2 linked regions of the Schizosaccharomyces pombe genome follow. The protein of the gene in region 1 purifies or fractionates together with the protein of each later gene. This does not show direct contact. Each region holds a gene or a part of one and is shown on either strand. Other genes may lie near its edges. The genes, in order: dbl8 and rpa43.

Region 1 (8,259 bases):
GTTTAATTTTATTTTTGAAAATTAAACTTTTTGATCACCTTTCGTAAAAGTTCCTTTCGATGAGCTTTCTGAATTCTTGGAGAGCTGTTAAATATACAAATAAGCCTAAGGAAGAAGACATCAAACTCCCAAATTCTGCATCAAATCTTCCAACTACTGTACAAGCATGTGTGATACAGTTTATCTCTTCTCTAGTTAGTCCGGTTCACCCTCAATTGCTTTCGCCTGAAGAACTAGCAAAAGCATTTCAAAACTTTTACAAGCATACCGATGAGTTTATTGCTTCAACCCTTATCCCTCAACCCTCTTCAAAAGATCAAAATGTGCCTCTTTTGTTTCCTGAGGAAATAGATGCTCAGAAAAAGGCGAGACAACACTTGCTGAACCAAAAAGATGAATGGATGGACCAAATTGAAGATATAGTTTGCGAATATTTGTATGATCGGTATGTGATTACTTCGCCTACAATAACTGTTTACTAATATTGTGTTAGGATTTTCTGTTTATCTACAAGTACGGATGCTGCCAAAGATGACTTGTTAAAAAAATTTATTGCTTCTGAAGAAAAGAAAGAACTTATCAATTGCATTCCAATACCTGATGATGAAAAACTTACAAACCGGTTACATGAAGTCTCTGAAGCATTTTTTGCTCTCGATGAGCAACACACACCTAGATCGAAAATAAACACTTTTATGACCGTTAATTCAAGTATATTGAATGCCTCTCAACTTCCTCAAGAAGAATTGAATGCTGATTCTTTATTAAATTTGACCATATATTGCATTCTCTGTTATCCCGGATTTCATTTAATATCGCACCTGAATTTTGTGTTACGCTTTCGAAATGCAGATTTTTTAAGCGGAGAGCAAAGATACTGTCTCACAACTTTTGAGGCAGCCCTTACTTTTATTCTTCGAGCTTGTCCAAATCTTTTAACTCAATCGTCAATTCAACCCTCTGATGATCCTCTTTCACTTGAGGTAGCTAATAGCGAAACAGTTTCGACCTCTAACTCGCTTCATGATCCGAGTGCAGAACCCTACCCTGTGAATCGCTCATCTTTATCTAATTTAAGAAATCTGGGACTAGCACTTGAGAAATCTTATGCCTCTCTACTTAGTAAAGTAGCCAATCACACTGCCAAAAGTTCAGAAGATTCTTCCAATTCTGTAGAATTCGTGGGCGACCCACCTTTGGAACGCTTTTTGACTGTTTCTGATGCTAGCGATCTTAAAATCGGTGAAATTGAACTTCTTCTTTCTGACTATAAGCGCCTCGCACGTTTGCTTTTTGAGAAAAATGGTAATCAGTAATTTTGACTGAATATTTTCTTTAAAAATTTCACATCCAGTTGGTTTTCGGCTTTGTTTATGGTTATTTGATTCATTTGAGAGACAAAGTCATATAGAAAAGTTATATGATTGATCAATATTTTTTTTTTCTTTGTTGCAGGTCAATTCGTGAACAGCTTAAAAGTTTAAAAGAAAATTTTTATTCAAAACAAGGATTGATTATTCCTTGACGTCTATTTTATTAATGTATGAATATCACAAAGAACTAGCAAAAATGATTTAAGCTTGTATGTTGACGCAAAGATTGCATGCGAATTAAATCCTTACAAAGGAAATATATGAAACGAATATATCATGTTACTGCAAAATTTTTAAATATACTGAATAAAATGAACTGTGATTCTTTGCTCAGTGAAGAAAATAGTCATATTTGAAACTAGGAATTAAACACACAATCACAAACTTCGGATTATAATGGGTAAGAAAGTTTTTTAAGTTGTCACATTATATATAGTAATGTTTAAAATATATTTCGGATAATCATATATATCTTAATTACAATAAAGAAGCGTGATTTTGGTACATGAATTTATATACACTTTCAAAATATACGTTCATTTTTTTATTTAAAATTTCTCTTAAGGCTATTTTATTTCAATGCGATAATCGAGTGCTGTGTGGACATCAAATGATTGGTTGCACTAAATGTTTATAGTGAATAGTGTAATTTACTTCCTTAGAAACCTAGATTTTGAAAAATTGCAGTCGCGCTTTAATAAGTCTACTTCGAGAGTGAGAATGCAGCATTAGCTTGTGGTTATGGAAAATGACGAGGCTTTTGATAGATTAATAAGAAAAATTCAGGAAAATCAAAAACACCCATCTTTCGAAGGGTCCAATAAAGTTTTGCATTTGGCGCTTTCATACCTAAATACTAACAGACAAAACCCTCATTGGGTTTGTGATCCTAAATTACAAGTAGCAGTTCGTGAATGTCTTTTTCTATTTTCTTTTCAAAATGATAACGAGTATCTGGTATGGTTCAAAAAACATTTGAACGAACGCCTTCAGTTATGCCCCAAATGTATAGTTAAATATCACCAATCTTTAGATGATTTCAAAAGTCTATGTTTAAACATTTTTCACTTTGACCCAAATACTCTTGAGATTGTAATGGAGAAAATTTATAGTTGGGACATTTTTCGGTTACAGGAAGTTCTCAAAACAGTGCCTAAAATCGACACGTCCTCGGCCTCTAAACCTATACTATGCGCCTTCTACGAAATCTTATACTCTCCTCGTATTTTACATAATAAAGAAATCTTTCCCTTGTTCCGAAACAGATTTCTTGAGTCCGGTTTTCTTCGGCTCTCGAAAAACCTAGTGCCAGGTGTCATAAGTCTTCTCTTCTCGAGAGATGATGAGCTCCGAAGATGGGCTTGCAGTATTTTAAGTGATGTAAAAACAATCTCCGATAATGAATTTAAAATCCTTGAGGGTCCCCTTCTTCAGGAAATTCGTTCTTTAGACCAGAAGAAAGAAAATGAGAACGAGATGCAAATTTTTCTGAAAGGTTTATCGTTGCTGTTAAAGCATGTTGATCATCTTTATTTTAGGGGACTTACAGGAAAAAATTTCAATGTCGCCGATTTTATTCTTTCGGGATTGCAAAGCGACCATACTAATTTATGTCCGTCTTTCCTTGTATGTTTACATTCTTTGTTATACTGCTATGGACGTAATTTTTGGACGCCAGAAATTTCTCCCAGTGAAGTAATAGATAAAATTTTTAATGGTAATGCTTATAAGAGGTGGACAGAAGAAAATACATCCAATTTTTCAAACGACCAAAAGGCAGAGAATCCGTTTGAATGGGCTACCTCTCTTTTGAAGACAATTTCAATCATTGATGAAGTTGAATTAATTAACAAAATTTTGATTAATTACACCATGCAATATAAAAAGGAACTGGAAGTCGGTTTCAAAAATGTTCAGTTACTTCAATCACTTGCTGACATATTTTCAGTTTTGTTTTCCGAATATTTTATGATTTTCCCCCATAGTGATCAAAGTTTACAAAACAAAGTATTTGAATTACATTCCACTTTAGCGATTAAGTTTGACGAGCTGTTTCGTTTGCTAAACTTGGAAAATGAAGAGTCTGTTGAATGGAGGCTTATTAAGAAAGTTTTTGAATACCGATTGAATTTAGATCTTTATATTTTGAAGCAATTCTATTGCCATTATTTGGACAGAAATAGAAAGCCACCCTTGAATATCAAATCGGTAAGTGAGTCTTTTAAAAATTTTTGGGTATATTTGCAAAACGTATTTCGAGAGGAGAAGTTCTTTATGGTTCGTATTGTTTTTCGTGCTTGCTCTACAGTTTGCTTGATTGATAAGTTGCCGCCTAAGAAAGTTGACATTCCGTTCAAAAGTGATTTCGAAAATGCACTAAACGGATTTGTTGCAACATTTTCTGAAATGCTTATTCAGACTCAATGTTGGCATTTGTCGGCACAAACCCAATTGGTTTCAAATCCTTTAACTTTTCGTGGAATCTTTTCACTCGTTTTTTCTCCAATTCTTGAGATCTCAACAGGAAGTATCTCAATTATTAAATCTATTTCGCTTTCTGACAGCGTTGTTGATACTATAGGAGAGCTATTGAGAAGCCAGTTTTCAAATACACTAAATTCTTCATGTTATGTTCTTCTGCAGTGGCTTAAAGTCAGAAACTTTGGAGGAGCCAAGCACATTGTTTATTTTAATAAATTAATTATAAACACTATTTTTGACTCTGTTGATGGCTTAACTTCTAAGGATGCGACTTTTGCAAAACAAGTGGAAAAGAAAGAATCCCTTAAGAATTTCTGGGAATCGTTATGGAAATTCTTTACTCATTTTTTCATTGTTCTTCCTACTTGGCCAGTTCATGATAAGGACAATTTAGTTGATTTAATGCGGGATACCCTTGATTTTTGCGATATGCTCATTAATATTTTTGAGGAAGTTAACGGATTCATTTTTGGATTATCGGATAACGATATTAAAATTGTTTCGGCTAATGATAAGGGCAGTGCTTTAGCTATGTGTATAGCTGATTCTTTGGTTACTGTATCTTATTGGCTTAAGTTAACTGATTCTTCACTTCTAACATCCGTTGTGAAAGTGATTTGTAAAATGCTTAAAATTTGTAAAAAGTTGGAGTGTCCAATTAGTCAAAATGTGATTGATATTATCCATAGGGCATCAATTACCAGTGATGAACAAACAATTCTTACATTCACTGAGAGAGAGGATCTTTTTATATCGCTCACACCATACCTTTCAGAAGACGTTCTTAATCACTCTCCTTTCAATGATACCAATACGCTTGAAACTAAGTTACAGAGTGATGATCGGGGTTTGCTTTCTAAAGACCAGACTATTGGGATTGCGAAAAAATTACCTGAGTCAAACATTAGTACTTCAAATCATTTTTTGCTTCCTCCGAAGGCTATTTCTGCTTCTAAAGCCATCAATAGAAATGCTCAAAAATCTCAAAATTTAAATTTTTTGAAATCTAAACAAGAGACAACACAGCGAATTCGCGAATCCGCGAAAGTTCCAAGAACCAGTGCGGGGAACCATCTTTCTGAGAAACTTAATTCGGATAATCATATACCAAAAGCTTTGCAAAAGCTCGATTCTGCTGACCCAATTCGCAAGCCTTCACTTTTGCACACTTCTAAAAGTTATTCTAATCCAGATGACAAAAATACTTCAACTTCCGATGAAGATACCTCGGAGTCCGAAGAAGAGTCTAGTAACGGTCTATTCTCGCTTGCACGTGAAGCTAATTCTCATGCCTCTAAATCTCTTCCACAAAGAAGGCAGATTCAGTTCTTGGACTTTGATTCCCTTAAAACAAAAAATGTAGTTCATCCTACTCAATTGCGCCGTAATACTCAACAAAGTGCACAACTTGCTCGACTCCGGCTAAACCCTGATGTTCAAGAGTTTTACAAAGTAATTTTGGGTTGGAACCCATTAGCTGATTCTTTTTCGGCGTCTAATGTTGAGATGCAGTGCGTCCAAGCTAAATTCACGTATAATGATTCAAACGCTTATGAGAAAGTTTTCAAACCAATGTTGTTTCATGAATGTTGGGCTCAAGTGAAAAGTGCCGTTGAAGAAAAGCAATACCCTCCCATAGATTTAATCCTCAACACCCGCAGTACAGTTGATAACTTTGTCGATATTTACTTTACGTCCTGTTCACCTACCGAAGTCTCTTTTTTAAGTGATACAGATATTTGCTTACTGTCAAAATCACAAAGTTCGGGCGATACTAATAACCCAAAATCTTTTCAGTTGTGCAAAATTCAATCCATTTCTCGTAAAAAAGAATCACTTGAACTCTGTCTGCGGATGAATATTGAATCAATTGATCTACAGGAGTATGCACCGAACATTAGGTTCACAGCACAAAAATTATTTAATGCTACTACTAGCTTACGTGAATTTGCTGCTTTAAAATCTCTTCGCCATTTACCATTGTCTCAGAGAATTCTGGATGCCAATGTAACGCGTCTACCTTCAAATTTTACAGATGACAAAAAGCAAAAAATAATGAAGTCTTATGGTGTAAATGAACCCCAGGCATATGCGATTTATGCATCTTCTGTAAATGATGGTTTTACGCTCATTCAAGGGCCTCCTGGAACTGGAAAAACTAAAACCATTCTAGGCATGATTGGAGCTGTACTTACTTCTTCTAGTCAAGGGTTGCAATTTAATGTCCCAGGACAGACGCGAAAAACCTCAAAGAATAAGATTTTAATATGCGCTCCTAGTAATGCAGCCATAGATGAAATTCTCCTTCGTATCAAAGCCGGTGTTTACGATCATGAGGGTATCAAATTTTTTCCAAAAGTTATTCGTGTTGGATTTGGTGACTCCATAAGCGTTCACGCTAAAGAATTTACTTTGGAAGAGCAAATGATAAAGCAAATGGAACTTACGAACCTAAAGAAAGATCAAGAAGCAAACAATTCCAGTGATACTCGGAAAAAATATGACTCAATTATTAAAAAAAGGGACTCTTTACGCGAAGATCTAGAAAAGTTTCGTAGTACTGGAAAAAATAGTTCAATATTGGAAGCACAGCTTCGTGAGATTACCAAACAGAAAAACATGCTTGAACAGAGCCTTGATGATATGAGAGAACGTCAACGCTCAACTAATCGTAATCTGGATGTTTTGAAAAAACAAATACAAAATCAACTACTTCAGGAAGCTGATATTGTATGTGCTACCTTATCTGCGAGTGGTCATGAACTACTTTTAAATGCGGGTTTGACTTTTCGAACTGTCATAATTGATGAAGCTGCACAAGCCGTTGAATTAAGTTCAATCATACCTCTTAAGTATGGCTGTGAGAGCTGTGTAATGGTTGGTGATCCGAATCAGCTTCCTCCTACTGTGCTATCAAAAACCTCTGCAAAGTTTGGATATTCACAATCTCTATATGTCAGAATGTTCAAACAGCATAATGAGAGCGCTTGTCTTCTTAGCATACAGTATAGAATGAATCCTGAAATTAGCCGATTTCCCAGCAAGTTTTTCTATAATTCAAAACTACTTGACGGTCCCAATATGTCAGCAGTGACATCTCGACCTTGGCACGAGGATCCGCAGCTAGGTATTTATCGATTTTTTAATGTTCACGGGACGGAAGCTTTTTCCAACTCAAAGTCTCTGTACAATGTGGAAGAGGCTTCGTTTATTTTATTATTATATGAGAGGCTAATTCAATGTTATCTAAACATTGATTTTGAGGGGAAAATTGGAGTTGTTACCCCTTATAGAAGTCAAGTACAACAGCTTCGATCACAATTTCAAAGAAAGTATGGTTCCATTATATTCAAGCATCTTGATATTCATACCGTCGATGGGTTTCAGGGACAGGAAAAGGACATTATAATTTTTTCTTGCGTTAGGAGTTCGATGAGCGGTGGAATCGGTTTCCTTCAAGATCTTCGTCGGCTTAATGTAGCTTTAACAAGAGCTAAATCATCTTTGTATATCGTAGGCAATTCTAAACCGCTAATGCAAGAGGATATTTTTTATAGCTTGATTGAAGACGCAAAAACTCGTGGTGTTTGGAGAGACTTGAGTGCTAATCAATTTAAGAACTCAAAAAGTATATCAAACGTTTCGACACACCTCGCATCTAACAATTTAAATTTAGCCTCACGGGATACCCCAATTAAGTCGCCGTCGGTTGGTATCTGTGAGGAAAAACAAGAAGCACATAAAGTCAAAAAACGGCACAATATAGATAGTGCTAATTTGTCAAGAGGAACTGAGAGAGATGAAGATATACCGAATAAGCGCGCTAAGAACAAAGTTTCCACTGATCAGACTGCTGCTGATAATAAGGTCACGAAACCACGCCTTGATGAATCATCCAGTTCCAAGCAAGATGTGTTAAACAAAATAGACGAATCTGAAATTGAACAAGCGTCTTCCAAAAAGCCGGGTTATGTGGAAAAAAATAAAGATAAAGGCCATATGAAAAAATCAAAAAAGCCCAAATCGAAACTTGCTCTGGCGGCGATGGCCCACGGTTTTGCACCTCCAAAAGTTGAGCATTTCAAAAGGAAGTAGCCGATTTAGGTTTTAGTATGAGTATTTTACAGTATTACTTTTTTAATAACACGAGTAGCGGGACGTTTTCAATCATTTGAATCTTAGACATAGTTTATTTATTAATATTTCTCCTATCTAAAAATGATTTTGCTTACAACAACACTATATTAATTTTTACTCAATGGTATATATAAACAGGACAAATGCACCAGTATATTCTATATGTTTGTGTTAGGATTATATCAAACTTGTATTAGCTCATACTCACAATTTCATTATTAATTAGCTTCCAAAATATGCTATAAATTAGCATATTATCAGTGCATGT
Region 2 (3,437 bases), 1.4 Mb from region 1:
CTGAAGGATCCAAAACCGGTAGATTAGAAGGGGTTGTTTCTAAATAAAAGGCCATATTAGAAGGAGAGATTAACCAAAATGATAATTGTCAAGTGAATTAAAACTTATATAACATGTCATGTGCCTTGGTTAACTAGTCGAGACCAACAATTGATTTGAGATAATCTGTGAGTACGACTTTCGCTTTATTTAGCTACCTTTAAAAAAAATATTTTTGGATGACAGCTGTGAATGTCGATATATAAATAACATAAATGAAGCCTGTCAAAAGCTCGATTTAATATGTTACAATAAAAAAATCAAACCGTAGTCTTAATAAAAAACAACCCAAGGATCACAAACTAGCGATAAAAGATGCAACAGTGCCAGAATAACTTTTGTAAATGCAGTGAAATAAGTCGTGGAACGTTAAAAGGTCCCAGAAAAATAACTTGTCAAGATTTAACCTGAATTTGGAAAAAGCCTTTAAGGAATTAAAAGACTTTGATTTACAGATATAGACTTAGCAGTCAATATATAATGTCAACGAATTCATCAAAGATACACTGTATATTGAATTACCCACGAACTTTGATTGTCGAGCTCCAAAAATTGGATGCACTAGTGTATTGTGTTATTTAAAATAGTGAATCACTATATGCTTCGTATCTTTGACCAAGAGTTTACCTCTCAGCAGTAGTCATCGAAGCCATCATATTCCTATTTGCTCGAAAATGAGTGATTTTTATGTTCGATACTAGTATGCAAAAAAGCTGTAAATAGTTTTGAATGCTAACTGACTGAAGCTCGGGACACCATGGTCGATTCGGACACGAGTTCTTGGGTACGCGATAATATTAGACGCAAGGTCGCGCAGCTAACCAAACATTTGCTAGAATTCGATTATCATAGTGATGGGCTAGGTATGAATAGAGTCAACAATTTTCTGATTCATATTAGCAACAGTGGTTTGACATGAATACTAATTCAATTAGCTAGATACGCAAACAATTCTAACTATCGGAACGATTCGTTAATCCGAAAGGAGAGTATGTTTTAGTACTACATTTCTGTTCGATCGTATTAACAAAGCCTTAAAGTGTTCGTCAGTGAGCTTGTTTTAAAAGAAGTTCAACGTATTGTAGATGACAGTGAGATCATAAAGCAAGTCATTTCTTTCAATTTTTTATACTAACTACTATTTAGAGAATCAGATGAAAGTTGGCCACCTGAAAATAAAGATGGTAAGCAGGAACTTGAAATTCGTATGAATGGAAAACACATCATGTTTGAAGTAAGATTGCTCTTCATTTGGCATAAATATATTCATTCTAGATACTTTTAAGCTAATATAAACTACTAGACCTGTAAACTTGGAAGTTTGGCAGACGTTCAAAATAGTGATGATCCAGAAGGGCTAAAAGTTTTCTACTACCTAATTCAAGATTTAAAAGCATTGTGCTTTAGTCTCATCTCCCTAAATTTTAAGCTCCGACCTGTTAAAAACTAGATGCATTCCATTTTCTTATATATTAGGGCGAAAAAGTTTTATGTGAAACATTGGTTTACTATTTGGGTTTGATTACCTTTGTTTCGTTTCTAAATGTACAGTCTCAAAGCTGAAAAACGTTCGAGCTTTAGGAAGGAATTTCAGTTTTTATGCTAAATTAACCGTATTGCACTTTTAATTCCATATCATAAGCGGTTAAGAATTGACTATTTATTTGGGAACATCTTAGAATATGGCAACCATTCCATGGTAGTCGCGTTACAAAATCTTTTTTTCAATAAGATATCAAAAAAATCTTGAAATAATTTTAGCTATATTAAATAGACACTATTTGTATAGTAATGAGCGATTCACTTATTTTGTCTCAATAATATTCTTCATTTAAATAAGAGAAAAAAAAGGTAAAGTATTTCTTATTGTAATTAAAAAAAAAATTTCAATGTCTTGAGCACTGTAGTGACATGGTGTCATTTACAGAATTGGCATTTCTATTGATGCCATAGTATCGCCTATTTAGCTGTTAACCTTTCTCGAAGACATGATATGTTATATATGACCTTGGTTGATCAATTGAAGAGCTTTGTTTACCCTTGAACATATCTGTAAAACTGGATGCAGTCGATGAAGGAAATTTGCGTTCCGCCAACATGCCGGATTTATCACTCTACAAACAGACTGTAGATTTATACCTTTCCATTGCTCCTGGACACAGCAGGGATCCTTTAAATGCTATTCAGGAGCATATGGATAGTATGATTCTTAGCAAACTCCCAAGAATCAATGGAATAGTGTTGGCGTACGACAATATTCGATTCCTGGAAAAAAGTGCAAAGGTCATGTATGACTCCCCATTCTCCTTTATATGGGTCCGTGTAGACGTTTTAGTATTTTCTCCCAAAAAAGGCGATTGTTTAGGTATGAAATGCTTAGAAATTCGAGATTCTATGATGGATTTGTATCATGATAATTCAGTCGTGCAAAATTTTATACCAACTCCAAAATAAATGCTAACTATCACTAGAAGGAAAAATTAATTTAGTCAGTCCAAGTCATATTGGTCTATTAATTTTGGGTATTTTTAATGCATCTATTCCGCGAAAATCTATACCTAAAGATTGGATTTTTATTGAGCCCGATACTACGGAAGAACAAGGTCGTTGGAAGACAAATGATGGAAATATTCTGGAGCCTGGTAAAGATTTGGAGTTTGTAGTAGATGGGTATGTCGTAAACTATATACTGTTTTAACTAAAGTTTGATTAAATTATGACTAACAGTTAATCTAGTATACAAAGAGAAGCTGGGTTGACTATGGTTCAAGGGACGCTAGCAAATTCATAATAAGTATTTATATTCAAAATACAAAAGGATTGGTTACTTATGATTATGGATATTTGCCTAAGAAATTCCGGTTTATAGAATCGCGCTAAAACTAAACAGTAAGTTATTTTGAAGCGGTGTGTATGTACTTTCAATTGTATGATTTTATAAAAGTAGGCAATTGTTGATTTAAGCTTAAGGAATGAAATGAATGATAATTCATAGTTATCTTTTTTCTAGACTTTTGATTTCATCTAGTGATACTCTCATTTTCAATTTGTTGCATATAGACATTGAATGCTTTCCACAACCCAAGCGTTTGGAACTATTTATTTATAAATTCGACAGTTTAATATAACTTATGGACAGCCAGTTAGCCTGCAATTTATTGACAAAATAATTGGTTAAAATCTTCAAAAAGCACTATTTGATTTAATACGTCAGGTGAAGGATTAATATCTTCTTTAAATAAATCGAGATCTACTTATAACACATCAATGCTTAGACAAATAAGCTTAAGTTTTATTACCACGTTTGTTTTTCTGTATTTTAATAATAACATCAATAATAAAATTTTTTCAATTATCTCAAATTGATCATTAAGCAATATGAATTAATTTGATCACTT

Evidence for each region.
Region 2: the proteins of dbl8 (region 1) and rpa43 purify together in Schizosaccharomyces pombe (affinity purification with western blotting, with the first as the bait; one study listed by BioGRID). This does not show direct contact.

What each region holds. Positions count from the first base shown.
Region 1 is NC_003423.3:2,556,983-2,565,241, reverse strand, and holds dbl8 (ATP-dependent RNA helicase Dbl8), read left to right. Parts: upstream 1-2,072; 5' UTR 2,073-2,114; coding exon 2,115-7,949; 3' UTR 7,950-8,092; downstream 8,093-8,259. Other genes in the region: guanyl-nucleotide exchange factor Muk1, read left to right, coding at 60-445, 494-1,316.
Region 2 is NC_003423.3:3,999,930-4,003,366, reverse strand, and holds rpa43 (DNA-directed RNA polymerase I complex subunit Rpa43), read left to right. Parts: upstream 1-2,123; 5' UTR 2,124-2,136; coding exon 2,137-2,404; exon of another isoform or gene 2,405-2,510; coding exon 2,511-2,709; exon of another isoform or gene 2,710-2,775; coding exon 2,776-2,830; 3' UTR 2,831-2,900; downstream 2,901-3,437. Other genes in the region: ESCRT II complex subunit Vps36, read right to left, coding at 1-55; mnh1 (protein mago nashi), read left to right, coding at 714-739, 786-823, 876-902, 975-1,028, 1,080-1,143, 1,186-1,273, 1,343-1,489. UniProt on the Schizosaccharomyces pombe protein: DNA-dependent RNA polymerase catalyzes the transcription of DNA into RNA using the four ribonucleoside triphosphates as substrates. Component of RNA polymerase I which synthesizes ribosomal RNA precursors.